Linked DNA regions of Lepisosteus oculatus. The protein of the gene in region 1 interacts with the protein of each later gene in a pairwise test. Links are inferred from orthologs where the notes say so. Each region holds a gene or a part of one and is shown in the gene's direction. Other genes may lie near its edges.

What was found.
Region 2: the proteins of smurf2 (region 1) and sparta interact in a two-hybrid assay, tested with the Homo sapiens proteins (2 studies listed by BioGRID and IntAct). The link is inferred for Lepisosteus oculatus from reciprocal best matches to the Homo sapiens genes SMURF2 and SPART.

Annotation. Positions count from the first base shown.
Region 1 is NC_090704.1:45,610,849-45,626,004, reverse strand, and holds the start of smurf2 (E3 ubiquitin-protein ligase SMURF2), read left to right. Parts: upstream 1-7,368; 5' UTR 7,369-7,912; coding exon 7,913-7,964; intron 7,965-15,156. Other genes in the region: kpna2 (importin subunit alpha-1), read left to right, coding at 183-271, 1,007-1,275, 1,888-1,982, 2,255-2,518, 3,343-3,576, 4,001-4,183, 4,413-4,562, 4,809-4,898. UniProt on the Homo sapiens protein: E3 ubiquitin-protein ligase which accepts ubiquitin from an E2 ubiquitin-conjugating enzyme in the form of a thioester and then directly transfers the ubiquitin to targeted substrates.
Region 2 is NC_090700.1:15,641,087-15,657,412, reverse strand, and holds the start of sparta (spartin a), read left to right. Parts: upstream 1-10,553; 5' UTR 10,554-10,864; intron 10,865-11,895; 5' UTR 11,896-11,897; coding exon 11,898-12,704; intron 12,705-16,326. Other genes in the region: ccna1 (cyclin-A1), read left to right, coding at 6,597-6,761, 7,000-7,234, 7,789-7,904, 7,976-8,199, 8,329-8,533, 8,656-8,769, 8,855-8,988, 9,064-9,115. UniProt on the Homo sapiens protein: Lipophagy receptor that plays an important role in lipid droplet (LD) turnover in motor neurons.

The DNA of each region.
Region 1 (15,156 bases):
TCGCCGCGGAGGGGGGGGGTGGTTGGGTCTTACCGCTGCCCGTCCGGGCCCGGAACCGCCCGGGTTTCGGACGGGTTTGTTGCTGGCTCTCTCCCCGTGTGAGCGCGCTGGTGCCTTGACGTGTTTTGAGCCCAGAGCCACCGACTGGGTCAGCCGCCTAAAACCCTGTTTTCTTGCTGTAGGGGGCGCCACACTGGACGGTGGAGGAGATCCTGAATGGCGTGAACAGCAACAACCCCGACCTCCAGCTGCAGGCCACTCAGGCGGCGAGGTACCGGACAGACTCCTATGAGTGTTTCTGAAAACCCGGGGACCAGACGCTGCTGCTGCAGCAGCCTGGTCTGTGGTGGCGGGAGGGGGGGTAGAACTTTAAATGTCTCTTGACAAGCGGTCTTAAGACCGCAGACCATGCTAGTTCAATCGGTCCTGAAGCTGCTTGTGAATCGAAGCATTTTGAAGTCAATGGAGAGTACTGCGCCGGGGTATTCCGATCAATCTGTTGCAAGAGCCCTGCAGTGCTGGCATGGCTCTCGTCCGATCCGTTTGTCAGCACGCGTGTACAGACACGAGTGTCCCTGCACTCTGTTCTCCAAGACAACGGGGGGGGGCTGCACTTGCCCCCTTACTCGGATGTGCGGGAGCTCAGCTGTTGTAAAATGTGAACGTCCCCCCCCCCCCCCCCCTGCTGTCGTGGGTCTTGAGCTACCTACTGAGCTGTGTTGCCAAAGCCAGGTGCTTGTCCTTCTGAGAAGTGGCTTGATCAGAACTCTGGACCCAGATGGGCTCTCAGTGGGCTGCATCTTTCATTTGGACCTTAATGGGCACAGGGTGTGCTATAGCCTTGAACAGATCCAGGTAGCCACTGCTTCTACCACAGTGCTTTTCGCGAGAAAGCAAAGGCTTGGCGTTATTGCAGCACTTTGCATTGGCTGCACGCGTGCAGAGTGGGGTCCCGGGTCCCTGGGGTCCTGTCTCAGCATGGGAACCCCCTCTTTCGTGCCTGCAGGAAGCTGCTCTCAAGGGAGAGGCACCCCCCCATCGACAGCATCATCGGTGCCGGGCTGATCTCGAAGTTTGTGGCCTTCCTGGGCGTGTCCCAGTGCCCCCCGATCCAGTTCGAGGCCGCCTGGGCGCTGACGAACATTGCCTCGGGCACCTCGGAGCAGACCCGCGCCGTGGTGGAGGGGGGGGCCATCCCCGCCTTCATCGGCCTCGTGCTCTCGCCGCACCCCCACATCAGCGAGCAGGCCATCTGGGCGCTGGGGAACATCGCAGGTGGGTCTGCAGCTCGGCTCCACTCGAGCAGCATCCTTACACCTCTCCCACGGCCAGATGGGGAACACTGTCCCTGGGTGGGGGTAGGGGTGATCCTTTGTCATACATCTTTTCTGGACACTCCAATCTCGGCGCTTCACAGGTAGCAGGGATCCCCTACACCACCTGTGTGCAGCCCCACCTGGATGATGCGCCAGTCTGCTCCCCACACACGAGCTCTCAGTGGGAGGAGAGCAGAGTGATGGAGCCAGTTCAGAGAGGGGGGTTATTAGGAGGCCATGATTGATAAAGGCCAGGGGGGAATTAGGCCAGGACACTGGGGTTACATCCCTAATCCTTTAGAGAAACACCCTGGGATTTTAAATAACCACTGAGCCAGGAGCTCAGTTTTAACTTTCATTTAAAAGTTGGTGCCATTTTTACAGTATTGTCCTTGTCACTATACTGGGGCACAGTGAGTGCCCTCTACTGGCTCCACTGACCCCTCTTCCAGTAGCAAGTTCCCCTTTCCCAGGGGGGTGTGGGGGGGGGGGGGGTGAACCCTGTGACCTGGAAGGACTTGTTCCTGTGGCAGGAATTTCAGCGGTGTTCCTCCCCCTCCTCCCGTTTCAGGTGATGGATCTGCTTACAGGGACAAAGTCATTAAGCACGGAGCCATCGATCCCCTTGTCACGCTGCTCGCTGTTCCCGAGCTGTCGGCCTTGTCGGTAAGTGCGCTTCGGCTTCGGCTTACTGCGGGGGATCGTGTGATGGGGCTCCTGTGAGTTCTCAGAGCCGAGACTTGGATGTTTATTCAAGCCTTTCCTCCAAGCCTCTTATCCAGGAAAGTGTGGTCCTGTATTGCACGTCTCGGGCGTCCTGTTGGTGAATGAACACTTCCGGGTCGCTCGCTTGGTTTGAGCACTAGATGGCGCTGGGGGCTCACAATCCAGTTCCCCAGGCGTGACGTGCAGACTCTCCTGTCCCTCGTGTCTTCCAGTCCGGGTACCTGCGCAACATCACCTGGACCCTGTCCAACCTGTGCCGGAACAAGAACCCAGCGCCCCCCCTGGCGGCTGTGCAGCAGCTGCTGCCCACGCTGGTGCGCCTGCTGCACCATGACGACCGGGAGGTGCTGGCCGACACCTGCTGGGCCGTGTCCTACCTGACCGATGGGCCCAACGACCGGATCGAGGTGGTGGTGCGGACCGGGCTGGTGTCCCGCCTGGTCCAGCTGCTCGGCTCCGGAGAGCTTCCGATTGTGGTACGTCTCGTCTTCGTTCGTCCCCCACGGACTCGGGACGGCTTGTATTCCTTTAGACCAGTGGTTCTCAAAGGCCTGTGGTCCGCGGACCACTTACACTAAGTCACAGATGCAGTGGACCATGTATGCCTATGTCCCCTTCTTACCCTGTAAAAATCACCTAGGAATGTACAAAAAATAACCAATTACTTTTTATGAAAAGTACAAATTTTTACAAACAAAGCTGTATATTTTGCAAGTGGTTATTACAGTTAATGTGGGGAAAAACTGAGCTGCTTTTCTTGAGCAATCGGAATGGCTGGTGAAACCCCTTGAACCTCCTACTATAGCTTGCAGTTCTTAACAGTGCTCCTAGGGGGAGCCCCTTTGTAGTGGACACTACACCATTCTTTCCTCCGACTTTAAGAGCTTAGGCTTGCTTTAAGAGATTAGGTCAGCTCCCGAACCACTGGTGGTCTGCGGACCACACTTTGAAAGCCATTGCTTTAGACTGTGGGCCTTGTTAAAAACAACTGTCATCTCAAGGGCACAGGGCAACACAGTGGGTTTAAAGATGGCTCCTCCTGTTTTTAAGTTTTGGGGTTTTTTTTTTGCATTTAAGGTTCTTGCAGATTTATGTGAATGTCCTTGCGACTGCTGTAAAGACAACTGAACTGTTCTGGTAGCTTGTGTTCTTGATCTCTTGTGGTGGTATTACAGGGGTTAACTGGTGCATGCATCTTGCACAGTGGTTGGTAAATGTACCGATGGGGATCTGTCCCTTGCTTACTTGGTAACTGAAGGTCTGCTTGAATTGTAAAGCTTATCTACCCCCTTCCCTCCAGACTCCCTCACTGAGGTCAATCGGCAATATAGTGACCGGCACGGATGAGCAGACCCAGATAGTGCTGGACTCCGGAGCTCTGGCCATGTTCCCAGCCCTGCTGAGGCACCACAAGAGCAACATCCAGAAAGAGGCCGCCTGGACCCTGTCTAACATCACCGCCGGGCGCGACACCCAGATCCAGGAGGTTGTGAACGCCGGGCTGATCCCGTACCTGGTGGAGGTGCTCCAGAAGGTGGGTCGGTGCTGCCCCTCCCTGTGTTGGGGCTTCCCTCTTGAGGTCCAGTTGTCTGGGTTCTGTTGTAGCTACTCTGACCTGTTCACCTGCTCAGCTGTTTGTACCAAGAACCATGGACCCAGCACCAGATTAGAATGACTAGATTGCTTTCTTGAACAAAACTAGCCAAAGTTTTGCCCCAAGTCATCCAAGAGTGCCCTTGCCCCAAGTCATTCAAGAGTAAGCTGGTGTTCTGGGGTTCTTTGTTGGCTCTGAAGGAGATTATATTTTGGGGGGGTTAACAGCTTTGGCCAAAAGCTCTGCTAAATCTTGAAATGCAAAACCTTTGTCCACAACTATAGGGCAGTCTTTTTTTTTTACTTTTTAGGTATCATTTTAAAATGTAAATCTGCGTTTTTCTTATCCTGTTTACCCCACCCAGGGTGACTACAAGGCGCAGAAGGAGGCTGTCTGGGCTATAACCAACTACACCAGCGGGGGGACAGTGGAACAGGTGGTGTACCTGGTTCAGTCCAACGTGCTGGAGCCCCTGCTGAACCTTCTGTCCACCAAGGACAGCAAAACTCTCCTTGTGATCCTGGATGCCATCTCGAACATCTTCCTGGTACGTGCTGAGCTTTGGACCTGCCTCTGAAGTGGTACGACTGATGTCCCCTGATCTTGATTTGTTTAGTGATGTGCATGTGGGGAGTAGTGCAAGCCAGGTGGTCACCAAGGGGCAGATTGCGATCTTTGCTCATGCTTGGCGATGGTGTTGAGTGCTGCTCCCATTGCTCTTTGGTGCCCCCTGTTACTGCCACTCTTAACCAGCGGTGTGTGGGCTTGTCCTGAAGGCTGGCGAGAAGCTGGGGGAGGTGGAGAAGCTGGCCGTGATGATCGAGGAGTATGGAGGCCTGGATAAGATTGAAGCCCTGCAGTCCCATGAGAACGAGATGGTCTACAAGGCTGCCCTACACCTGATCGATAAATACTTCTCTGGAGAGGTGAGCATAATATACAAGTTTTGGGTTTTTTTGGGGGGGGTCTGGTGGAATTTATACTACTGGTGTTTGAAATGCGATGCTTGTCTGAAGAGGTGCCAGTTGCACAAGCCTTGTGGGCTGGTGTGGCTCGACTTGTGACGACGAGCTCGAGGTTCACTGGGAGAATGAGAGGTGCCTTGTTCACTACTTCAGAACATGCATGGGTCAGACCAGCTTGTACTCATCTCTCTCTCTCCTCTGCCACAGGAAGAGGAAGACCAGTGTGTTGTTCCTGAAGCTACGACTGATGGTTATGCCTTCCAGGTCCAAGATGCTGAAAGCACTTTCAACTTCTAGAGTTTTTTTTATGCTGTCTGTCTTTTTTATATGTGTAGCAGTGTTTTCCATGATGTATATAACAGGTTACTGATGTGACTGTCAAACCTTTATTGTATGAAATGTAAATAAAGTTTATTAGATACGTCTTTCAAAAGTGTCTATCAATGCAGCTTAGAAGGACTGATGTTTCCACTCGTCTGCAATCTGTGCCTTTGATCTTCACAATGAAGCTGCACCCTGAGCTCTTGGCTCTGAAGTCCACAAGGGACAAGTTCTGGTTTCTGCTGAAGTCCTTCATTATCCCTGAAGGATAACACTTCACGGTTGATGGTGATTTCTGGACGGGTAAATTGAATGAGACTAAATGCATCCAGTTTCATGTTTGTGAGCTATTTTGACAACCTGGATTAAGGAACAGGTAAACGTTTATTCCATAATGAAAACGTCTTGGCTGTGGAGCCTTCTGGTTCTCTTGCGGTCTACACATCTGCCTACTCGAACCACAGTTGAGGGGTTTTTCCAATGGTTAGTCTATGCACAGGGAAGCGGTTTCTGTAGGATATCTGAAAGATCCAGGGGAATTCTTGCACCAGACTACTGTAAATTGTCTGCTCAGAACTCTGGTTTTGTATGAAAAGCAAGGCTGGGCCTGGCCTGGCCTCTCTTACTCTAAATGTTTTTTGGAGATCAATACGTGCTCTCCTGTCTGCCCTGGAATTTCTGAAGTAGTACCCCAGTTTGAGCAGGGACTGCTGTGTTAGTCCCTTCAGTGAGTTTTAACCTGGTCACCGAAAGGCCCAGGGTGCTGTTAAGAGCTACAGGGTGTGAACTGGTGTTTTGATTGTATGGTGCCTGCTAGCCTTCGTCTCCCCTTAATTTAACTGGTGAAGTGCCTGCCTGCCCTGTTGTGTAGCTGGGCTGCCACTGGAGCAAGGATGACACACCTGGAGGTGTTGCTGCACTTCACTGATGGAGAAAATGGGTCTCCAAGGTGTTGAATACAAGGAACTGGACCCGACCGGACTGAGGTGTGCTTGCAGGGGGAGCTGGAGGCAGGATTCCTGAAATCAGTTTAAGGGAACAGGACGTCCCACATGCGGTAGAGAGGTTGGAGTGAGCAGGTAGCAGTTAACTCTACGACGTGTGGCATTTCTTCAGCCTTAGGGTGTCCACGGAAACGTTTTTTTTTCCTTCAGTGTTTCAGCGTGTTATTGATGTTTGCTCCTGTACACTACATTTTAAGAGACATATCCTGTTGGTGTTGCAAACCAAGTTCTTTTTTTCCCCCTCTTGTTATGGTCAGCCGTATGAGCAACTGATTTCTAGTGGTGAGCGGTTGAAGAAGGCTAAGACATCTCCCCAGATCCTCCCTGACTTTTACAGATGCACTACAGAAAGCCCCACTGACAGGTTGCTTCACAGTGTGGTATGGCAACTGCAGTATTGCTGACCACAAAGCCCTACAGTGGGTGGTGAAAACTGCCCAGTCCATCACTGGGGTTGCTCTCCCATCCATACAGGACATTTATGACAGACGGTGCTTGAGGAAAGCTCTAACATTATCAAAGACCCCACACACTCCAGCTACAGACTGTTTGACCCTCTACCATCTGGAAAACAGTACCGGAGCATTCGGACCGGACTACCAACCTCAGAGACAGTTTTTACCCCCGCACTATCAAACTATTAAACTCCCAGCCACTCTCACCTACAATCTGAACCCTCACAGTGCCTTCCCTCTTCATCAAATCCCAAACACACATTGAAATCTACCTCTACCTCACGTCAAGAAGTTCACTCCCCATAATTTCCTATCCTTTATTTCATTCTGTTGATGTATGATTTTGCACACCTGTTGGTGTTTTGCACACTGCCTGTTGTCTCTGTCTTTCTTTTCTCATACAATTGTATTGTTGTTGTTTTTTGTACTACTTACCGACTGAGAGCTAGCTAAATAGCATCTCGTTATATCATATACCAGTGGTAGTAGTTCAGGTGGGTAGTTCAGGTGGGTACAGTTCACCTGAAGAAGGCTCCACGGCCGAAACGTTGTGTTCTCTTTCTTCTTTTTTTCAGCATGGAATAAACCTATTACTTGTTCATATACCAGTGTACGAGTATAATGACAATAAACTTGAACTTGATGCTATTGAACATCACGGAACTTCTGGATTGGATGGAAGATGATTGTGCAGCTACACAATTGAAGTTAACCGCGAATGCAGCTACACCAGCGTGCGCCATCACCGATACGTGTGCATCGTGTAGGATGACGGGGAGCCCGATGCAGGGGGCTGCGGGACGTTCGTTTTCGGCTTATTTTAAAAAGAAAAATCGCGTTTGCACAGTCGCGGGACCCGATGCACGTCTCTGTAATTTCGCAAGAGCTGCCGGCGTCTGTCTGGAGAGGTCAGCAGAGAGCCGTCTTGCGGAGGAGGAGAGCCGTCTGGGGGAGCTGACTGGGAAGAGCTTTTTTTTTATTTTTTTTTCTTCCCAGCGTCTTGCGCGGACGCGCACACACTCCATTTCCACTCTCACTCCAAAACCGATCCCGGTGGGAAAGAGTGCAGAGTGCCGCCGACGTCCTAGTGCGTCCGTCTTTCCCGGAGATGTAGGAAGAGAAAAGTGCGCTCGAACGTGGCTCGCCTTTTTTATTATTATTATTATTATTATTGCTGCTGCTTTTATTCTGCAAACAGGACGCGGCGGCATTGGGGGGGGTGAACCTGTGTCTTTCGGGGGAGGCAGGGAACATTTCGCGAGGACGCCGCGCGCGAGAGGGGGTGCATTCCTGTCCGCGTGAGAGTGGGGGGCGCGCGTGTCGGCGCTGGTGAAATAATGGTAGCGCGACGCACATCCGGGCCACCGGGCCGTGACTCCATTATTCAGCCACTGTGAAGCTGGCGAGCAAGAGAGGAGAGGAGAGGAGGAGGGAGGTTGGAGGGGGGTGGCGGAGGGGAGGAAAAAAAAAAGAGAGATACTTTGTAAATATTTTCTAGCGTCGCAACTCAAGCTGGAAAGCGGCGAAGGACATGTCTAACCAGGGGGTGAGGAGGAACGGCCCCGTGAAACTGCGTTTGACAGGTAGGTGGCCCCCCCCGTTTTTTTTTTTTAGAGGAAAAATAAATGGCAAGAAAACAAGAAGGTCGGGAGCGCCTGGGCTCTGCGCCCCTGTCCCCAGCCTGGACGTGTCCGTGTGAAAGGGGGAGTTTTGCGTTCCTGTGTTGTGGGCGAAACGGAGCCGACCGTGTGCTGTCCGCCGTGGCCCAGGGGCTCAAGTTGCCCACTGAGCGCTGAGACACGGCGGCTCTTGCAGGGGAGGAGGGCGGCGGTGAGCTGCCCTGGAGAGTGCTAGCCGTTGTCGTGTGCCTGGTCGTGACTGTTGCTGCTCCTGCTTTGAAATAAACCCGGGGAACCCGTCCGGACCCGAGCGGTGTGCGCCGTGCGCCAGCAAGTTTGTTCGCCCGGGTACTCTGCCTTTTTAATCATCGAATCGTGTGACGCGCTTCGGGGTTTTTTTTTGCATTAAAAACGTCCAGAATGGAGCCCTGTTTTTTAAAAAATGTTTTATATGCAGTTTTGTAAATAGCCGAGGAAGGAGGGAAGTGCATTTGTTGTCCGGCTAATTTGTGTTGAAACCGATCGGTTCTAAAACTGAAGAGAGCCCTAGGTGTAAGAATTGTTTTGCTTGAAAGTAATTCCTGGAGAACAGCTTTTTTAATTACATTTCTGGAAGTGTGGTCTGTTCCTATTTTTTTTGGGAGGGGGGGGGGGAATCTTCTCTGGATTAAAAAAAACTTAAAGTTGTTAAGTTTTAAGGTTTCGCTCTTGCGTGGCCTTAGAAGTCAAATAGAAACTGAAAAAATATAAGCTTAAACTTGATAACGACTTTTTAAAAAATACTGTTTGTTTCCGTCCGCACGTCGTGCTTTGTTTAAAGAAAATTAACGACGATTAAACGCTTCCTAAATAACATCGTTTAAGATGTGGAGGTGTTTGCCCTCATCGTTTTTCCAATGTTATTTTTTTTTAAATTAAGAAAGTTCAGTTAAGTTCAAAGGTTTTAATGCAGTTTTCTGAAACGCTTATTTGTAGTAGTTCGTTCCTACTGCTAGTATGCAGAGTAGAACTATCCCTGTTCACCCTCGGAGATCAGCTTTTAAAACAAATAACTTTATGGATGGGTGGCTTCTATGTATCTTTGAGAAGTTTGTAGGTGCTGGAGATGGAGACTGATGTTTCTGGTCCCGTTTCGCAATGGTTCCATAATATCTACGTGTTTCAGTGGTTGTTAGGGGGGTGTGGTTATTACAGACGAAATGTGTTACTGATGTCCCAGTTTAATATGCCATTACCGCTGATTTAATGTCTTCAAGCGAAGCAATCCGGGCTTCAAACACAGCTGAGTTTGAAAAGTATTCACGTCGTGCTCATTTCGAAAACATCTGTTTGCTTTTGAACAAGGACGTCTTCTTGTGAAGACGCAAAGTGAGGCGGTCTCGGCGACTCCGAAGTCAATAAGAAACGTTGCCTGCAAATTCCTAATAGTTTCTCTAAATTCTCTAAACTCTAAAAAAAAAAAACAGTTTACCGACAGTACCATGTTTTGCCAAATAAGTACAAAAAACAGTATCGACAAAACGAAAGTGTTAGATTTTGTCGTACTTTGGAAGTACTTTTTTCTCTTTTTAAATAAACTGAAACGTCTGTACGTTGTAACGATTTTTTTAAAAGAAGTGTATATACGCGCTTGGCTTAGTCGAGTCGGGATAAAGACAGAAAAAGTTTATTCTGGTAGATCTGTTGCAAGACGAACTTCAGCAGACTCGTCTGTGGAGGTCTCTCCCAGGCATGAGGCTGGTCGCTGTGAATTGTCTACTTGATTCAGTTATTTTTGTTTTTCCAAAGGGGACCAGTGTTTCCTTAGCTACCGCTTTAGTTCGACGGTTTATTAATAGAATATAGTTTTCGATTTTTCGATGCCAAAGAAGGTATTGCACAAGGTTACGAACGTGAAAAAAAAAACATTCTTGATCCCTGACGTAAGGGAGGCCGAGTTTTAAAATGAGTTCCATGCGCTCCAGAGATCCTCTGCTTCAGAAGGACTATTTCATTTTACATTTTCGTGTAAACGGGTAGGCGATAGAGCGTGATTGTTTTATTGCTGAATGATATCGGGAGTGAACGGTTGATTTATTTGGGGGTGGGTTTAGGTCCTCTTGGCTTTCTTGGCCGGGACGTGTTCCGGGGTGGTTCTGCTGATGGACTGGTAAGACTCTGACATGGCCTCTAGGGCAGGGAGGACAAGCCCAGAGGTCACCTGCTTGTCTGGGGGTCCTGCAGCGTGGTTGTTTCCTGCGGACCCCCTCGCTTCTGGAGGAAGCGATCCCAAGGGGATCTCATGGCCCGCAGCGAAGGAGCTCTGGGTGCTGGGAAGGGGAGGAGTCTTCCCTTTGGAAACCAGCATGATTCCATTTCAGCCCTGGTTAGCCAGCCGGGTAATTTAAACCTGTTGCCTTATTTTTGGGTGGGTGCGCCGTGGACTGAAGGGTGTTGGCAGAGCTGGATCGGCCCTTCCTGCCTCACCGGTCCAAGTGAGCACAGCAGGAGAGCCTGGTCCTCCTGACGCCATGAAGGGCATCCGGGTGCCCTGGGATGCGGGCGGTTTCCCGGGGACACCCAGCTTTTTCCGGGGTCTTTGGACGCGAACGCAGGGCGTGCCGGTATGCTTTGGCAGCCTGACGCAGTTCGGCGTTGAAGGAGGAAACTCCGTCTTTGGCGATGCCGTCCAGTCAGCGCCTCTCGCCAGCTTGTCGGAGGAAGTCGAGCTTTTCTTTCTCTTTATTTTTTTTTTTTGTCTGTGGGCTTGCCCTGAGCGTGGCTTTCCTTCTCCTGTTCCCCCCCGCCTTTCCGAGTGCGTGCCAGTCTGCTAGCAGGATCTCGGCGCCCGTTCCCAGCGCTCCGGCGGCAGCACGAAGCCCGGCTCTGGGGAGCTCACTTGGCACCAGGCTGGCAGCCGGGCCCAAGCGGTGTCCTGCTTCTCTGTAAACAAGCGGCTTTCTGTCGGAGCGCTGGGAGCGGGGGGCTCACTGCCTGCCTGGCTGAGCGCTCCTGGCACTGGGGTTGCGTCACTGACCGGCCAGTAAGCTGGTACCGTTTAACCCGTCCGGTCCGGAGCTCGCGAACGGAGCAGGTTGAATCGGGTGGCCTTGGAGGCCGTGAATTGATGCGGATGAGAGTTGTTCCATCTCCCCTCCGCTTGTCGCACTGTGGCTGCTGCGTTGACAGGGATATTGTCGCCTTATGTCATTTGTTGTATAAATTAAAGACTTGTGTTTCCTGCTTGCCATTAAATTAAAAGTGAAGCTCTTGACTACTTCTTCATTCCTGGTCTCAAACACGACTGCCTGCCTTTCGATTCTGTTTACTTATTGTGTTGTATTCTCTTGGAAATCTGTAAATGGCTGTTTTACTACCCACAGGTATTTCTGATCTTTCCTGTAGCCTTTACATGACCTATTAGTAGTCCTTCAGACTCAAACTATTCAGCTCGTGATACTGAATAAGTGCTTAAAGGTCTGAATTAGACAAAATGGCAAAATGCATTATGTTTTACATATCCTGTCTGATTTTTATAAGTTCACACCCTCGGTATATCATTTCTGATTCTTTCCAGCGTCCAGCTCAGTAAATGGGTTGTAAGGGAGCTGCAGCTCTGCTTTAATCTGTATTACCTTTATGGTCCAGTGCTGTCCGGATGTCTGCAGGAACACATCGAGGATGTAAACTTGAGAAGTGACCTGGACCAGCCTGTTTTTTTGTTTTGCTGGAAGAGGTAGCGTGCTTGCGCCTCCTGCAGGTGAAAGGCAGGGGCAGGCCTGCAGAGGGGAGGGGGGGGCTGGGGGCTTCTTTTCACAAGAGGCTTGTTTGTTTTTTTCAGCTTCTAACAACATAAACATGTGAACGCTTACACGCGAAGCCATTGTTTTGACTGGTGGAGGGAGACGGAGGACGGGATCCTTTGTTTGATGTGCCTCTGGGCTTTGGGCCGGAGCAAATTCCAAGGCTTCTCTATCTGTCGGGAAGAGCCAACATAAATATTTGATCTCGCCGCTGCTTCTGGTGGGCTAGGGAGGGGAGGAGGGGGGCTAGGAGGGCATGAGAGGTACCCCTTTTTGCCAAGAGAGGTGTGAAGCGACTTCTTTTAAATGTGGAGTCGGTCTCCTCGCATTAAGCATTTAACTTCGGTCTTCGCCTTTGTGTTATTTCCCGTTCGGTAGCAAAGATTAGAGAGCAGCACCTCAGGCTTAGCCAAGATGGGTCATCTGTAAGAGGAGTTCAGTTGGCTGTACAAATATAAAAAAAAAAACAGATTTTCACTATTTAGAATTTCAAACACTTCAACTTGCTTGTTCTCATCTAGACTTTCTGATTGTGGGGCACTTTAGTATTCATATGGACATTAACTGTAATTCTGCACAACTCAGATCTTCACAGACCCTTGGAAATGAATAGGTCTAATACAGTACCTAGCACTAGAGTGAGCACGTTGGCGATCCCCGTCAGAATCAGACTGTCTGGCCCTTACCTGATTCCTTTTGGAATTAACTTTTTATAGCTTAAAATTGTTTTTGCAAAATGCTTGTTTCCCTTAACCTTTAGCTTTCAGTAATGTGGTCAGTGTTACTTGATGTAATGTTGGCTGATATTTATCACCACTGCTTGCTCCTGATTTTTTTGTCTCAGTTCCACAAAGCTATCTTCTTCTCTTTTTCGTGTTTCTCTTCTACCACTCCTAACTCGGCGTCTACCACAGTCTGTCCTGTAAACTGTGGTTTCCTGGGTCCGGTCGCTTCGGTCTCTCTCTCGTATGGAGGAAAAAAGTCTTTCAGCCGTCTCTTCTTCTGCGGGTTTAGAAGCCATGGTCTGCTCGGCTTCTTAAAGAGCACATGTCTGCTCTTGGCTCAGTCCTGGAAAATGTTGTAAATGCTTCTTTACTCTGGCATGGTCCTCCTGGATCTGTATCTGGCTCAGACTAGAGGTGCATTTAAGAAATTGCATCTTTTTCTGAGGTTTGTACTACATTATTTAGCTCAGTTGTTCAACAAAGTGACAGCTGACCAAGTACTTCTTCACTTTTTTAATATTTTTAAATTGATTTCTTTTTTTATTACAACAACAAAAAATACGATACACGCAACAGTACATAGAATATCACCAGCGGTATATAACATTGGCCAGCAGCCATGTCACCCTGCAACTCACAACTGGCAACCCACTGAAGCTAAGCAGGTGTAAGCCTGGTCAGTACCTGGATGGGAGACCTCCTGGGAAAAACTAAGGTTGCTGCTGGAAGAGGTGTTAGTGGGGCCAGCAGGGGGCGCTCACCCTGTGGTCCACGTGGGTCCTAATGCCCCAGTATAGTGATGGGGACACTATACTGTAAACAGGTGCCGTCCTTCGGATGAGACGTAAAACCGAGGTCCTGACTCTCTGTGGTCATTAAAAAATCCCAGGGCGTTTCTCGAAAAGAGTAGGGGTGTAACCCCGGTGTCCTGGCCAAATTTCCCATTGGCCTTAACCAATCATGGCCTCCTAATAATCCCCATCTATGAATTGGCTTCATTACTCTCTGCTCTCCTCCCCACTAATAGCTGATGTGTGGTGAGCGTTCTGGCGCACTATGGCTGCCGTCGCATCATCCAGGTGGATGCTGCACATTGGTGGTGGTGGAGGGGAGACCCCATTACCTGTAAAGCGCTTTGAGTGGAGTGTCCAGAAAAGCGCTATATAAGTGTAAGCAATTATTATTATTATTATTATAACGCTGAGGTGCGCACAGCTTTCATGTTCTTACACTTAACAGCTTCTTCGCCATGGTTTCTCAGCACAGGAAACTGCCCCTCTGAGGTCCTGCAGTGATGGCCACAGGTTCTGGATCTTGCTTTCCTGTTTGCAGCAGTGGTGTGCTGGATGACTTCCCTGGCTGTTGTCCTTCTTGTTAGCATGGTGCGAGTTCGGAGTGAACCTAGGGCAGCTGCGTGGAGTGCTGGTTAGGGCTCTGGGCTCTGGGCTCTGGGCTCTGGGCTCTGGGCTCTGGGCTCTGGGCTCTGGGCTCTGGGCTCTGGGCTCTGGGCTCTGGACCACAGGGTCCCGGGGTCCCAATCCCTGTTGGCGATGTTGGTGTTGTACATGTGACCGAGGCACTTCCCTCATTGCTGCAGTGAAAAAGCCCAGCTGTAAAAATGTAGGTCACCATCATGAACGAGCTTGTTAAAGGCTTAAGAGAAAAATTAAACTTGAGGGCGTTCAGAAATGTAGAGCTCAAGTTCATAGCGCAGACCCAATACTGCTTCAGTGCAGTTTTTCTGGCCGTCAGATTGGGAAGAGAAACCCACGAGTACAATTATGATACAACCCTGGACACCTGGAGCCGATGACACAAAAGCAGCACATTAAGAGGACGGAAATGTGAGAGAGGCTGCAAATATAGTTCTGCTCATCTTGTCTTCCACCTTGTGTTGCTGGTAGCATATTGATCGTAGAATCAGATCCAGTCTTTTTTTTTAAAGATCCTAGGGAGTCGGCTTCAACAGTATGGCTGTGCTGTTCAATTGTATGGAATTGTGTTTCAGGCGATTGATTTCCTGGAAGTCTGCAGTCTTCGGATGTTTATCCCAAGGTAGAAGTGAAATTAATTGCCCCTTCAGGTTTACAAATAGTGCTTTAAATGGTGTATAGTGATCTTGTGAAGAATGCAGAGTCTCGATGTGGAAGAGCAAGTCTGCCCTAGTCACGTTATCTTGCGTCTGGTAGCAGTTGAGCTTTTCTGATTTATCTTGGAAGTGTAGGAAAGGCTGTGCCCGTTGTTGAGATTTGCACAGCCCAACCTGCCGTGTGCAAAACCAGAGGAACTGTAGTGCTGAGGATCTCTGAGAATAGAGCATGTTCCCGTATTGGCATTTAAGGGGAGAAAAACCTTTCCAGGAGGCTGATGTTTGTTTTTGCGAGGGTGAAATATCCTGTACCGCAATAAACTAAAAGCCACTGATCAGGAAAGAGGAGAGGCAGGTCTGCAGAAAGTGACCTAATGTAATTTTCTTCCTGGGGGAGGCTTTCACCTTGGCAACCCGGGAGAGCGTTGCTGAAGTGTGGCCGAATGTGCTTTCATTTCAGGGAGCAAGATACCTTGTTGGGCAAATTTTGTAGAACGGTGTCGGGTTGTGGAAAAAAGAATGCAAATGGAAAACCACCGCAGAAATGAGACTGCTGCATC
Region 2 (16,326 bases), on another chromosome or scaffold:
ACAGAATCTGTAATAGGGAGTATCAGGAGCTGAATAAATCCACAGGGATCATGCAAGGACAGGTCTCACTCATCCAGTAGGGATTATACACAGTGACTGGCCAAGCCTATTTTCATGTTTGTTCTCTGCAGGCAGAGTGAGTTTACTGTATGCTTCATCATCCACCATAACATGTGCCTGCAGTATCAAGACTTTTCAGGAGGGGCTATTCCTGTCTGTGCCAGCTGTCCAGACAAGGGTCATTTGCATGAAAGACCTTGCCTCTGCTGAAATGTCCTATGCAGAGAGGGATGCGGCTCAGTGCTTTTATTTCTCTTGGATTGAAATTGCACTGTTTTGCACAAAAATTCTCCAATAATTGAAAATGTACTGTCTTCTTGACTTCCAGGGCACAGCGCTTTTGTGTCTCTCATTAAGATTCAGCCATAGAAACAAAGTCATAAAATATTAAGTTCTGAGCATTCCTGTCTGACCATGTCTGCAAATCGGAACAGTAGGAGAATACAAACAACCGATGCCAGCATACTGTTAAGTGTAGGCTGTCTGTGTGCTAAGCTGGTATAAAGTAAGCTACAGTATAATGTACATTTCATAAAAGCAATTGTGTATGTCTCTTTTGTGCCATCCTCTTCAGTCATCAGGAGGTAAAGTGCTGAACAGTCCTTTTAAAACACTTGCAAATGGAAAACAAGACTTGTGCAAGATTTATAGTCTGTAAAAAGCCACGGGCAATAAAGTTTCTGAAAAAAAATAATCTAATACCAGAAATTTTGGATTGGTTGGCTGATTTCCCAGAAAAATGGGGCCCCAGTTTGCATTTACTTCTTTTTGTTAATAATGACCTTTCAGTTAGAATGAAAGGCACCTGTAATAGCCTGACTAACAATATTCTCTGATTTCTATAGAAGATAGGTTTTTCATTCATTTTCACTCACAAAAGGAGTTAGAGAGAATAAAAACAATCAAACTTTCAATCTGTAGATCTGTCAAAGTACTGTTTTAGTGCTTATTCGATAGTAGTTTAAAATTACACAGGGAAGTTGAAAGATGAACAGTGGTCCACCTTAAATAATAATCTCCTTGGTACCCCATCATCAGAAACATTTCTTTACATCACTTTATGAACCTCTTTTTTAATAAGACAAATAAAAAAGAGAAGCTTAGATATAAACATACTGCATAGGGCTTGAAGTGAGCCCAGTCTTCAGGGCAGAAGCGGGTGGGGGGGAGGGTGGAGATGGAGATAGACTGCCACAGAGAGTCTGGTACTGACCAGGAGAGTAATAAGCCAGTTGGAGCTGTGCTGGAGTCTTTGGCTTGGCAGCGTGCAGAACAAGTCGCCACACATGCCTCCACATCTGCCCTCATAGATGGCCACCAGTCTGGATGAATAGCCCCAGTTTAACACTTCTGGCTTGACCTTTTGGGGCACAAAGTGTTAACCCGGTGGGAGCATCAGGAGGAAACAGGGCTAGAGACTAGGGAACCCTGGGAGCACAGATCCTCGACAAGGTGTCAAGTCCTGTTCTTCGTTCCAAGGAGAAGAACGGGGCCCAATGCGCTTGCCAATGGTTGCATTGTAGTTTCTGAAAAAATAATTAATCTAATACCAGAAACCTTTGATTGCTTGGCTGATGTACTGTAGGTTTTAATAGTCCGTGAAGACCAAGAAAGGTTGCAAGGCTCCCCGTAGGAGGTGTCTCCACTCTTTTGAGGCTCATCTTGACTGCCAGCAGTTCTCAGTCGCCCAAGTCATAATTGTGCTCCACCAGAGTTTCCAGGACAAGGCACACAGATGGATCTTGGGTGGCAATCCAAAATTTTGAGACAGGGCTGCACACACTCTCATATCAGATACATCTACTTCCATCTCAAAGGGTAATGAGGATCCAACTGGTGAAGGATTGGGGCTGTGGTGAAGTGGCACAGTTTTCTTGCAGGCCTCTTATGTGTCAGGGCTCCAACTGCCCTGGCCAGGCCCCATTCCTGGTGAGAGTTATGATAGGGGATTTTGTTTTGGAAGACGGCCGGAACATTGCACAGGCCAAAAGGCAGTACTAGGTGTTCTTAATGCCCTGCTTTGGTATTGAAAGACGTCTTTCACTTGTTGCCTTCCCACGAGGTGTGGATCAGGTTGTGCCCCTCAGATCTACTGTATTTTAGTAATGATGGAGGACTTGCTGGCCCTCTTCAGCAGCGATGGAATCAGAGGTAAACAGTACCAGTTCTTCTTCATGATTTTGTTTAGTTCCATGTTATCAATACAGGGCAGAAGAGGTCCATCCTTCTTTGGCAAGACGAAGAAACTGGCTCCATTGGGGAAGAGAATGAGGGAATGAAGCATGTATGGAGGTTTTCCTACATTTACTGTATATTTCAGAGGCTGACAGACAGACCCAAAGTGATGTGGTCAATTGAGCCATCAGAGATGGATGAGGCAGGACAAAGCCAGAGGGGTGGAAGTTAACCCAGCCTTTAGGGAAAAAAACAAATAGGGGTAGGGGCTGCACTGCTGTGAGAGATCAGCTCCAGTGGTCGGGACACAGGTTGCTGATAGGCAGAGCAGGTTCATGACTAACTGAAATTCTTCAAGGAGGATTGAGGTTGAGTATTCCACTGTGACACGGGTTAGTACTGTTTAATGAACTGCCTAGGTCTGAGGATTGCTCAATGGTAGAGCACTGGATCAGTGGCAAAACAGTGGCAAACCCATTGGATTGAGCACATGTTAATTTGGTTGGAGGGGGCCAGATCACCCTGAGTGAGTCCGAGCAGCCCCGGGTGGAATGTGGCTCATCGTGGGAATGTGTTCAGTTTTTGAGGAAGCCAACGACTGTGAGCTCTCACCCACCAGGGAATAATACATACTGTACCTTCAGCATAAGAAATGTGTCCTACTCTTCTATTGCACGTACAGTAGTTAATAGTAACATCTGTTTAGTATTCAAAATTCTAAATAAGACCACCTAATATTTTCTACAATATTGTGTATTATAGAAAATAAATTCACCCTACCCCACCTCTGAAAAGTGATTGATTGTTGCATAGCATTAGGATTCTGCAGCAAATGATAACGTTCTACTGGGTAAGCAGTAAATCCAACGGATTTATTCATATTTTGAAAAAAAAACGCATTCTATGTCACTGCTCTGCTCCTGCAGAACAGATTTTTTAATCATTCTACATCTCTAATCTATGTGAACAGTCACTGATGACTAGTTTGTGTTTCAAAGCATAAGTAAATCTCCCATAATTCCATTCCATTATCCCTTGCAACTATTAAAAACACATGTTCAGTGATCTCTCAGCCTGAGATGAACTCTGATTAACATCTATTGGCATATCACAAATAAATTAAGCGTCTAGGTTTCTTGGACTGAGATCAGGGACAGAAGAGTGCTCTCAGTCAAAAACAGACTATGAAGAATCAATACATGTGTACTCACATAGCTACTCAGGAATTTTCATTTATTTTTTAAAACAAAATCTGTGTATTCATATAAGTGTTGTTACTGTGTTTGGTTACCTGTTTAGCCAACATGGTGAGTCATGGTAAATGGTGTTATTAATCTCTTAATTCTGCAGTAAAATTGAATGTGGTTGGACATTTATTAGCCATATGCAGTAAATACTTACAGAAAATGTATTGGATTCTGATTTACCAATTTTGATATTCAATGAAAGTTACAGATCATATGTTCATCATCACTTGATCTTGGACTACCTAAAGTAAGTGTAATATGCTGAATTTATTCTAAGTCCATTATAAAACTACCTCTGTCATTTTCCATCCTGTTTTTAACTACTTAAAAAGGTGTGTGCAATTATTTACAATTAGACATTGAATCTTGAATGGTCAGAGAGAACAATCACCTGTATATATGATTTCCATATGTTTCTCAAACGTGAGTTTCTTGAGCAGATTACTATTTAAAGGGTTAAATAATTATAGGGATTTATTATTTGTAGATTATTCTGTTCCCAGTCATTTGGTCAGTACATTGGGTGTAGAAAGATGTACAGTTTTTACAGGCATAGAGAGAAATACTTATACTTAGCCTTATCTATCTTCATTGAATCTGGTTTACCCATGATTTATTATAGTGCCAAGGAACATGTTTTGCATTTTATTTTTCATTGATGGCCTTTAATATAATAGATCATTACCATTTAATCTTCATTCATAACGTCTTGCCTTTTCTCTGCTGTACGTTGATCGCACTGAACTTGAATATCAGTACTTCATTATTTCTTACACATATTAAATCAGTAGCCCTTGCTGCTACACTAAGCAGTACTGAAACACATTTACAGTATAAAGACTAATTATTCAGTCATGATAAAAAATGTTGTAGGGAAGATTAAACAACAAAAGAATGCACAGCCAAGAACATTAGATAGAATATTAACAGAACATCACCAACAATGGTTAAAGCTTCCCTGTTAATGGAAAAACACAGAGACAACACCATTGTTTTAGACTGTGTGACATTAATAATGGCTTTGTTGAATCCTGAAACTGACACAACAAACCAAAAATAAATACTTTTTGTTTTCTTAAAACTCAACCTATTGAGACAAACCTTCTAAATGACAAATCGCTTACAATACGAACATTGAAAATGAAAAGTCATGTCTTAAGTCATGATCATCACACCTGAAGAAGGCCCCACGGCCAAAACGTTGTTTTCTTTCTTCTTTTTTTCAACATGGAATAAACCTACTACTTGAATCATTACAATATGTTCAATAAATGTGTTTATGTATAACTACAGAGGTTCCTGCATCAAAAATAACGATCATGACTCTATTAAAAACACAAAATATTAAAATTGTCTTAATGTCCTACAAGCATTTCAGAAAGCAAAAACTTACTTTCCTTCATTTAATAATAATGTACAAAAAGTATATAAACACAAACACTTTCTTTATTTCATATCATCAGTACACATGCATGAAAAAATAACCTAACTTCTAAATTGCTAAGTCACAATGCAACTTAGTAGGCTAATAGATTGATTTAATATAGACGAGACGATTACTGCTTCCCTGTATCATTTATTACCTGCTTTGCTACATTACAGTTTATAAACATTTTTGTGTACAAAATAAATCCAATGCAGAAGTTAAAATTGATTTTGAAAGTAACAGCTGTATTATAGATTCCATCCAACGATTTTCAAACCATGGCTTCCGATTCAGGGTCACAGGGGAGCCTGCATGGAACGCCAGTCCACCAAAGGACAGCCACAACCACACACTCAGACCAGGGTCATTTCTCCCAGAAATTAACCTGCCAGTACTCTATTTTTCTGGACAGAGGGAGGAAACTGGAGCACCCAGAGGACTCCCACATGAACTTGGGGAGAACATGCAAACACTGTGCAGACAGCACCCCAGGTCGTCCGGAGTTTAACCCAGGGCCCCAGGGCTGTTAAACACCCTGCACCGCTAACCCACTGCACCGGCCTGGCGTCCTGTTAGATATTTCTGAAAGTTAAATGCATCTTTTTATCTGTTCACCCTTCTGCCTCAAACAAGCTCTTGACTGCTTTCTATCCATGCAGATCATCTAAAATTATATTATATGACAGGCATTAAAGGAGGCATATGGAAATACTAGATGTGTACTGCACCAAAAAAATCACCAACCGCTATAAAGCTGGCATTTAGAAACCTAGAGGAAAGAGTCAAAGCTAAAAATTATCCAGAGCAGCAGTGCAGAAATTCTTCACACATGGCTTAGAAATCAGACATTACTGAGAGAAGAGTTTGCCGAGAAAATAACTATACAGACCCTCTTTTTGTGTGCAATGTTTATTTAAATCAGTACAAGAACAAATGTCATGTGTGCATTCCAATTAAACTGATATAACTGATTTATAAATCAGTATTTTAAGCATTTTTTTTTGGTCTAAAGAAATAAAGCGGGCATACAGTTTCAACTGAAGTGTCGCCATAGAGATAAAACACCATCACCTGTAATTTCTATCAGCTGGACAATGAAGGAGACGCACAATCATGCAGGTGAAAGCTTCTTCTGTTGCTGTGGTGACGTCTCACGTGTCTGATAGTTGGACTTTGATTGGTCGAAACCTTCGAAAGCGGTCTGATTGAAAATAATTACTATGTGTCACTGATGGACCCACAACAGCTGAGTGTACAACATGAGCTGATAATTACGCTTAATTTGAATTCAGGTTAATTTTATGAGAACTATATATAGTCGAAGTGACGCCAACTTCCTTAAGGGAGGATTTTAATGTAAAGTAGAAATATACTCTGTGGCTGCAGGGCGTGCATTATCTGGATTACGCGAATTAAAAGGTTTGAGAGGTTTAATTTTAATTTTCGCTCTGTGCTACTTCTAATGCGAGATGTTCATAACTTCTGAAGGCGACCGTGTTGTTTTAGTGGTGAGCCTATTTGTACGCGAAAACGTACGTGGTATATTGGCTTCCTAATTTACTGGCTAACAACTTGCCACACGGGCACGGTAAAAAGCAATCCAAGTAGAATGACATGCATGGCATCTTTAGAAACTAACGTAGTTATCCTAATTTTACTTTTCTTGCACCTAAGCTGATCATCTGGAGATGAGTTATTTCCTGGTTGGGGGCTGCAGGAACAAGGAGAACCTGGCTCCTATAGTACAGAACTTCATGGAAGTACCTCGCTCACAGTGGGATTTGAGGCCGAAACAAAGGGCTGTACTAGGATCTCTAAGTGAAAATGATCAGCACAGCAGATCATTTGGTCAGGTGAGAGGTTTTTAATGTATAACTTCAGCTGCCTTGGGTCTTTATGCACTTCATAAATCAATCTCCTAAATTGGCCAAGGCCCTGTAAGAGATTGCATATTTTGGCTGTCTGATTTAAGATTAATCCTAAAACAGTTTAAATGTAAATGTGTACCTAGCATTTGCATTCTGCTCTTGGTCTCATCCTAGCTGGCTTGATGTGCCCTGGCAATAACTTGTATTACTTAACCCTTTTAAGGGCACTCTGCACTCCAAGAATGGATCGCTTTGGGATAATGCATTCCCTTCATCCCAGAAGATGGCTTTTCCTACTTGTCCCTCTACATCAAACTTTGAAATCTATGTGGAGGAACCTGATGCGATTGTCCAGTCTGTCCCCAGCACACGACTGTCTGAAGAACCACCGCTGCAATATGAAGAGTCCTCCATGTTGGAGCACAGAGAGTTCTGCCTCTTCTTGGACCTTAGTTCGGGTAAGTAGTCTCAGCTACAACAGAACTGAAGATGGCTCCCCTATATTCAGAGTGGAAGTGCAACATGTTCTTGTGCAGAGCTATGATTGGAAAATGGCATCTCAAGTCTAGCTCTGCTTCATTTTATGTTGAGCATCTTTTAAGGTGGCAGGGCCCACTAGATCATGTATTCAAAGGACTTATGGTTTTACATGCTTTTGTCTCAATGACTGCCATTAAGTGAAACTATCCAGTTTCACTTCATTCCTAAAGTGAAGTATCCATCTATGTACAACACATCTAGGGTTTAAGTAAATTTACAAAGAATAATGGTTTGTGTTTCTGTGGTTCACCACACTGGATCTTTTTGTTGGAGTACTTATTTTCTTTAAATATGATTCATGCACTTGGCCTCACTTGTGCTGATTGCTGGCCATTTAGTAAATATGCAGTTGATTTTTATGCATGAACATCTTATTACCACTAATGATAACTGCAATGGACTAGTCAATATAATTACCCACTTGTAATGTTGCACAGTCACTACACTAGGTACTGTTACCTGCTTTACTCAGCAGGGTCATGCCAGGATGCATCCATGCAATCTCAACCAGAGGATGAAGAGCCCTTGCCACCTCCAGATTCGCTCGAATATGTGAAGGACATCTATTGCCACTTGAGGGAGAGTGAGGTGGGTTCTTCATAATTGGTACCCCCCTCAGGAAATGGGTGCTTATCCCTAACAAGCTCTGTAACCTTCAGGTCAAGTGCAGACCCAAGCCTGGGTACATGAAGAAACAACCGGACATTACCAACAGCATGCGCGTTATCTTGGTGGACTGGCTGGTTGAAGTTGGGGAGGAGTATAAACTGTGCCTGGAGACTCTCTACCTGACTGTGAACTACCTGGACAGATTTCTCTCCTGCATGTCTGTCTTGCGAGAGAAGTTGCAGTTAGTGGGGACAGCAGCTGCTCTTCTTGCGTCGTAAGTACAGGGCTCTTGGGAACCTACCTGCTCATTGATGAATTCCAGGCTGAGTAGATGAGCACCTTTTTAAACTAAAGATGGAGAGTTTAGAGGTGTTCATTCCTAATGCGCCCCTGCATTTTCTAGGAAATATGAAGAGATCTACCCCCCAGAGACTGACGAGTTTATCTACATCACCGATGAAGCCTACACAAAGAAGCAGCTGCTACGGATGGAGCACTTGTTTCTCAGGGTCCTAGGCTTTGATATGACTGTACCTACAACTTATCAATTCTTGAGGCAGTTCCTGACTATTGAAGCAGTCTGTAGTAGAACAGAAAACCTTGCCCTAGTAAGTACACTTGGCAATTTGGCTTTTAAAACCAAAGCCCTTGTGCAGATCTGGCACTTCGCCAAAAGATTGGGTGAGGGGTAACCAGTTAATGTTTCTCAAACCCAGTTCTTTGCTTCCAGTATGTATCTGAACTAAGCCTGCTGGATGTGGACCCTTTTCTAAAGCATCTCCCATCTAAGGTTGCTGCAGCTGCATACTGTCTTGCAAACTACACACTTAATGGGAGACTGTGGGTAAGCTCCTCTCTTATACTTGTATAGCTAAGCATTCTAAAGCCTTCTCTGTGGCCGGCTAAATGAAGCTTCTTGTCTCAAACAGCCTGAATCTCTCTGTGCTTTCACTGGTTACTCTGTACATGAAATTGCACCTTGCCTGCAAGATCTTCACAAGGTGTATCTTGGTGCAGCTGATCGACCACAACAGGCCATGAGAGTAAAGTACAAGAGCTCTAAGTAGGTGAACTTTTTTTTTTAAACCACTCCTGATTTGTGACATGATCTGTAGTAATGATTTATCCTCCTTTGCAGGTACTGTGGTGTATCTTTAATAAGCCCTCCAGACTCCCTCCCAGTGCATTAAAGGATTCCACTAGCCCTCCCCGGAATGGATCATGTGAACAAATGGCACTTAACTTGGCTAAAGTTGATTTTGTACCCTTGGGACTCCAGGAGATGACCTGCAAGTGCCTCAGAACTTTTAATCTTTTTATTTTTTTACAATGTTTATGATGGTTCTGAGATGGCTGTCAAATGAACAATAAAATTTTATCCTAAGTACCTTCTGCTTGCTTTTTGAACTCCTTCACTGAGTACCCTTACCTGCTTTAAGCTTATGTGCTTAAGCATTAATGGAAGGCAACTACATTCTTTGCCATTTTCCTTGTATCCCTTACAGTAGGCTGCCATTAACCCCCCTCTCCCTGATACTTCAAATTAAAAGGGGCTTTCAGCTGAAGCCTTAATGACTTCATCACCTTTAGTATTCCTATAGCAGGTTAAGTTGCTATAGATGACTTAGTCTGTCCTTAGAAAAGTTGCTGCTACCTGGTTTAGCAAAGCATCCACTAAACTATTAAAAGGTGCCTTCTGGAGTTTTTCCCTACTTGTTGCATCCAGCTGACCTATGACTGTCTGTCAAGCTTTCAATAATGTGGCTGTACTGCACCTGTAGATCCAATCCATGCTAATGGCTGTTGTTTGCATGGATGTGTTGTGCTGGAACTGTAAGGATTATTCCACCCTGTGTTGAAATAATGCTCTAAGTGTTTGAGTTAGTTACTGCAGCTTTATGCTTGGTGAGTTCAGATCCATGTGCCTATTCTGTGTTTTCCATGTAAGAAAACATGGAATCAATCTGGTCAGATTAACTTGACAGTTTTGACACTCTGGGATCTTGATGCCTAGAAAGACATCTCTTTATATAACTTCCTTCCCCCCCCCCCCACTCTACAGAGTAGTGTACTTGCAAAGCGATGAGTCTTATTGCAAGGGTTTTGGGGGCACAGTCTGAGATCTTCAATAACTAGGTACTGGTGTACTATTCTTGGTGCTATTGGAATGTCAATTTACTACTCAAAATATATTAAATATACCTGGATTATAATCCTGGAGGGCTAAACAGTTCAATGTGTAAATTCTAGTTGCAGTCCTTAAATGCTATTGCACTAAATAAAGATATGACTACTTTGAATTTGATCAAATAACCTGCTCTTATGCACTTTGAATATTGTAGAGCTCTTCTGAAGTATACAGTGCTTTTCTGCCTTTATTTTTAAAGTCCTGATGAATGGGTTATTCTTAAAACATAACGGAACTTGTCGAATTTTTTTTGGTGCTTTTCAAACGAGGTTGAAACGAGTTTAAGATTCTTAAAGTGTGGTGTTTTCGTCTTTGAAAGTTGATTCGAAGGATGCCTGGGTTCAACCAACTAAAGGAAAGGTTGCCATCTAGCGTTTCCATCAGGTAGCGCTCGTAGTTGAGGTGTTTGTCCTTCTGTGTCTGCCGTAGCCAGTGGAACTTTCTCGGACAGGTGATGCGGGCGGGCATATGACCCGTCTGGGGATAATCACTTTAGACGTAATCAGGATTGGATTATATACGACTGCGAGCTCTAATAAACCTGTATGGTAAACTGTTTAAGATTATATTGGGTTTCTTGAAACTGAAGAAATAAAGGGGGTTTCAGTTTTCGTTACAATATGTTACACATCATGTAACTATTTTTCTCTATAATTTCTTGCTACCTCTGTTAAAGGCTTTTTAAGAGGTTACTGTGCTAATATTTCGAGAAGATTTTGGATCCGCCAGACAAAGCTACAGTACTAGACAGGTAAGATGTATTAGCCTATACGTAGCTAAAGATGTTCTTTTCTAAACTTTAGTGATAGTTTAGGTGAGATTTAGTTGGTTCCCATAATTACATGGTTAGTATAGAGTTAACTGATTAAACAAATATAGTTAAAATGTGTATTAAAAGATGAACCTCGTGTAGACCTGGTTGAAAGGTTTAGTTCTTTGAAAGGAGCAGGCGATACGATTATTAATTACTTTTTAATACAACATTGCCTTTTATTTTAAACATGTTTAAAACTAAGACGTCACCCAGCAGCATACCTGGTTGTTAACGTATGTTTTTTTTAGTCACTAGATTAAAATCCTGTGTTCCCTACAATCCGAAAAGCCCCTGATTTGGGTTTTGAAAGATGAATGTTTAAAACGTGTGAAACTGTCACGGGGTGTTTCAGGAGCGACTGCATACTTTTAATGACGTCTGTGAGATCCACCGTTAACCTGTACAAATATGTCTGCAATGCATTGTTTTAGTAATTTGGAAATTGTCATTCTATTTAAACGTGAAATTTAAAAACCCTGAGACATGTCCTCCGGGAGCTGTCTTGGATTGGCTCGAGTAACTACAGCAGTAGCGGTTCACGCCTAAAAATACTTAGATTTTCCAAAGGATAAAACCGAGATTCTCTGTTGAAACTGTGTAGACGCTATCTGCTCCTTTAACATTAGGCATAACCCAGTTTTGTTGTAAACAGTCTCTGTCTTGCCTGAAGCAATAATGTGTTTCACCCGGATCTTCAGTAGAGGAAATAAGGCTCACTCTCGTACCATAGGAGGCTCTTGAATATATAAAAAACATGCTCACTGTGTGATACTGGTGACCTTTTGTGATTAGATATTCTCTATAATGTGAGAAGTAGTAAAAACGAAATACCTTTTTTTTCAATGGGTTGGAAATAAATTATAGAAATCTAATGCACTGGAAATCTAATCACCTTCAGGAGTCCCTGAAATGTCACATTTTTCTTAGTGTGTGTACGCCCATTACTCTGCATTTCTGATGGTTAACAGGCATGGAGAAGGTGGAAGCAGAGGAGCAGAACGATGCCAGAGTGCAGGTCATCAAAGAGGACTACCAGAAGGCCTTCGAGTTCATCAACAGGGGGCTGACGGAGGATGAGGCAGGCCACAAGGCCGAGGCCCTGATGCTCTACAGGCAGGGGCAGCAGCTGCTGCTCAGGGGGCTCAGCGTCCCCTCTCGGGGGCCCGAGTGCACAGGATCTAGGTGGGAATCTGCCAGGCAGATGCAGCAGAAGATGCAGGAGACGCTGACCAACATCACGACCCGCCTGGTGGCGCTGGAGCCCGACGGAGCTGGGACAAGCCCGGGTCCCGCCAATGGGGAGCTGGGGTCAAGGAGCTGCGACGGTTTGTACCCAAAATTGCCTTCAAAGGAAAGACCAGACAGGCCCCCTCCCCCAAAGGTCTTGTTCCCAGAGGGTCAGCCTCCCGGGGCTGTAGGCGGGGTGCCTGTCCCTGGAACTGCCCCCACGTGTCAGGGAGTCTCTGGGGAGCTGCCCCCAGCCTACTCTCCGCAGGCTGCCGATGGCCACTTCACCATCTCGTACGGGACGGATGCCGGGGAGCTCTCCCTGGTCGGAGAGAACTTCTACAGCTCGCTGCCCACGCAGCCGCCGTCCCTCCAGAGCCTGGGGGAGGATGGCGAGGAGCTGCTCTTCATCCAGCAGGGGGTGCAGATCTTCTTCGTGACGCCGGAGGGCCAGGTGAGCGCCCCGTCCTACCCTGGCTACCTGCGCATCGTCAAGTTCACCGGCGACCACTCCCAGGCGGCACCCCGGCGGCCTCCCGCTTTCCTGCAGGTGAGGGATCTTTAAAACCCCACATCTTTGTGGGGGTGAAAAAAGAGCACCGGCATGCCCTTTCTTTCAGTGATCACCCTATGGCGGTTTACTCAAAAAAAAAAGAGCCTTTCTCAGCACAAGAAGCATTCTCCACCCGCTGACATTTTAAAAAATGCTTTGGCATTTGAAAGATTATTTGCGTTTGAGTCCTGCAGCTGGCAAATCATTACTCTGCCGAAGCTAAAAAGGTAAAAACTGTTAACTCATGAAGTTACAGGGGCAGATTAAAGGAATGTCAGTTGGTGAAAAATGACATCAAAGCTGGAGAGACGGTATGAATGTTAATCGGCAGCCTTTATTAATGTGCAAGTAAGTCCCCTTTCTTGAGACAAAGTGTAAGATTGAGACTTCAGTTGGAGCTTGGCAGGAAAGGTAACTTAAAAGGCATCTTTTTATTCACAGAATGGAAGCTTCCGTCCTTTTAAGAAAATTGGTCTTCCGTTAACCTGAAAAACGGGTTTCATATGGTGCCCCGTAACATGGTTTTCCTGGTGCTGTTTCTGACAGCTGACATTTAAGATTTGTTTTCTTATTCCTGTCTTATTGTATTGAAATAGCTGGTTACAGGATAAAATTAGTCACAGTAGAACAAAACTATCGGCACTATTCAGAGTCAAGCAAGGGATGCGCCTTACACAATGAGTATTTGGTGACATTTGTTAATAACAGTATATTTTGAATATTTTTATGTTTTGTAACGTGGACTGTGGTAAAAACCTCCTTTTTGCGATGAGCAAGTGTTACTACCCACTTGGCCTACCTTGCAGTATTTTAACTTAAATTTAAATCTTTTTAAACTTGCAGTATTTTAAAACCCCTTTTCTTTTAATTTTATTAGACTAATTTAATTTGCAGTTTTACAAATAGATACTTTATTGATCCCGTGAGGGAAATTGCAGATATATTTTAGACATATTAGATGATTATGATTTATTGAGGACATTTAGCAGCCTGCTAACACTTACAATAGGGAGAAAAAAATTAATACTTTCAGTTTTGAAGAGAAAAGGGCATCTGATATTAAAACTGTCATTCTCAAAAAAGAATAAGTTCAGTTCTCTTGCAGCATTAAACAGACAGAAGGGAATAATCATCAGCATGCAAGCAATAAGCAGACATAAGTGATTGCTTCCTGCAAAACAGGATCTAACACACAGAAGTAGGTCAAGAGTCAAAAAGCTTACTACAGCTAATGCCCAAACATGGATATTGCAAGAAGGTAAAAATGATGTTTTCATACAGTAAATGTGCTTAAATCACATCTGAGAAGAGAGAGAATTTCCTCTAACAGAACCTGAAATCAGGAAGGTGGCTATCAATGTGAGATTTGATCTGTGCCACATAAGCAGTACATTGACCTGGGTACACTGAGGTCTGTTGGCAAGGTGGTGCGGCACAACAGAGCTCTGATTACAAGGTAGAGGTCGACGATTCAAGAGAGGACTTGCAGAGGTGCATGAAGCTGTTAAAAGAAAGAAAAAGAGTCCCCTTATGTGATTCTTACTGTAGCTCACACAGGCTTTTTGTACATGAAAGTTCAGAAGGACATACAGTGGCTCCAGACTTTCATTCATTCCTGAACAGTCAGCGGGGAGTTTTTTTTATCTAGGTTCAGCTTCAGAGATCACGAGGGTGATTAAGTTTTATTAGTTAATATATAATTTTATCAAAGGATATGGTTGTTCTTATATTGTATATATTTTAACTTTTAATTTCAACTTAACCAATTACAATTCTTGGTAATTGCTGGCAAAACTGGATCAGACATTTACTTGTTACCGTCTTAAAGTAGTTAGCCTTATCAAAATTAGACTGTTGTTTATTTTCAGTGGTTACCTCATTGGTACTATATCTGATATTACCCAAAATCGTAGACTTTAGCACATTCCCTTTGATTACTTAAAAAATCAAAAAGGTCCAAAAATGTTATTTTCATGTGATTTCTTTATTAAATTTAGCTTTATCTATGTAAAATGCAAACCCTTAAATTGTCAGTTTAAAGTCCTCTTAATTGACTATGTGCATCAGTTAAAGCAGGTGACTTCAATTCCTGCAGTCTCAGGGTTGACCTCACTGTAATCAATAACACATCTTGTTTACACTGGTCCTAGCGACACTGTAAGAGACTGCTGGGTAATTTTAGTCAACGGCAGAGATCAGCTGATATAGTTCTGTTGCATTAAATGTGGCTCCGCATTCCTGCCTTTTCAGATCACTTGCATATTATGAAGCTGCATGTCATGTGCAAACACACAACTTTCCACATTTCTAAAGCAAAGTTTGTTAAAAGAGACCATTTTGAAAATACTTCCAGGGATTTGCCTTAATTTGTTCAGAACGTCATGGTGCAGTGTATCATATGAAATGAGCTGTTTCTGATAACTAACAATGGAGAATTGTATTCTAGCTCTTTGTGGGACAGTTCAGGTGTTGGAACTATTTTCACCAAGTTTTCTAAAAGAAATGTGAGAGCCATTTTTATGGTCACAGACAATGCTCCATCAGACCCAAGAGAAAGTCACATTTGTTGTGACTGGAAAATGCAATTGAACTGTCCAGAGAAGGACCTTTTAATTTAATCAGTATCCAAAATCACCCATGCACAAATAGTATAGTAATAATGATTTTGATACTCAGTATAGATTTTTTTTTCCACCCAATTTATCTAATCACCAATGGTGGTAGATATTTTTCTTATTGCTATTAATGTGTTTAAGTATGTAAGGCCACCCAAACAACAATATCAACAATCACTGCTGTTTATATTGATACATACGTACATCAACCCAAGGAGACCATGCATAAAACAGAATACACATTGTAATTAGAACTTGACCATGAATCAGACATTTTACCTTTAACACAGAAGTCTGTTTTAGCACAATTTGGAAATGTGGTATTTCCTTTCTGAGGCAATGAAGATTTTTTAGTCCCACAATCTTTGCCTCAGTTACAAGTCAGTGCTCTTTGTGTGAGAGAGCTACAGTCTATCTACAGCTACAGTTTGCCAGCAGCCATATCACCCAGCAACTTATAACTGGCAACCCAGTGAAGCTAAGCAGGTGTGAGCCTGGTCAGTACCTGGATGGGAGACCTCCTGGGAAAAACTAAGGTTGCTGCTGGAAGAGGTGTTAGTGGGGCCAGCAGGGGGGCGCTCACCCTGCGGTCCATGTGGGTCCTAATGCCCCAGAACGCCGGAACGTCTATAGTGACGGGGACACTATACTGTAAACAGGTGCCGTCCTTCGGATGAGACGTAAAACCGAGGTCCTGACTCTCTGTGGTCATAAAAAATCCCAGGGCGTTTCTCGAAAAGAGTAGGAGTGTTACGCTGGTGTCCTGGCCAAATTTCCCATTGGCCCTTACCAATGATGGCCTCCTAATAATCCCCATCTATGAATTGGCTTCATTACTCTGCTCTCCTCCCCACTGATAGCTGATGTGTGGTGAGCGTTCTGGCGCAATATGGCTGCCGTCGATCATCCAGGTGGATGCTGCACATTGGTGGTGGTGGAGGGGATTCCCATTACCTGTAAAGCGCTTTAAGTGGAGTGTCCAGAAAAGTGCTATATACAGTAAG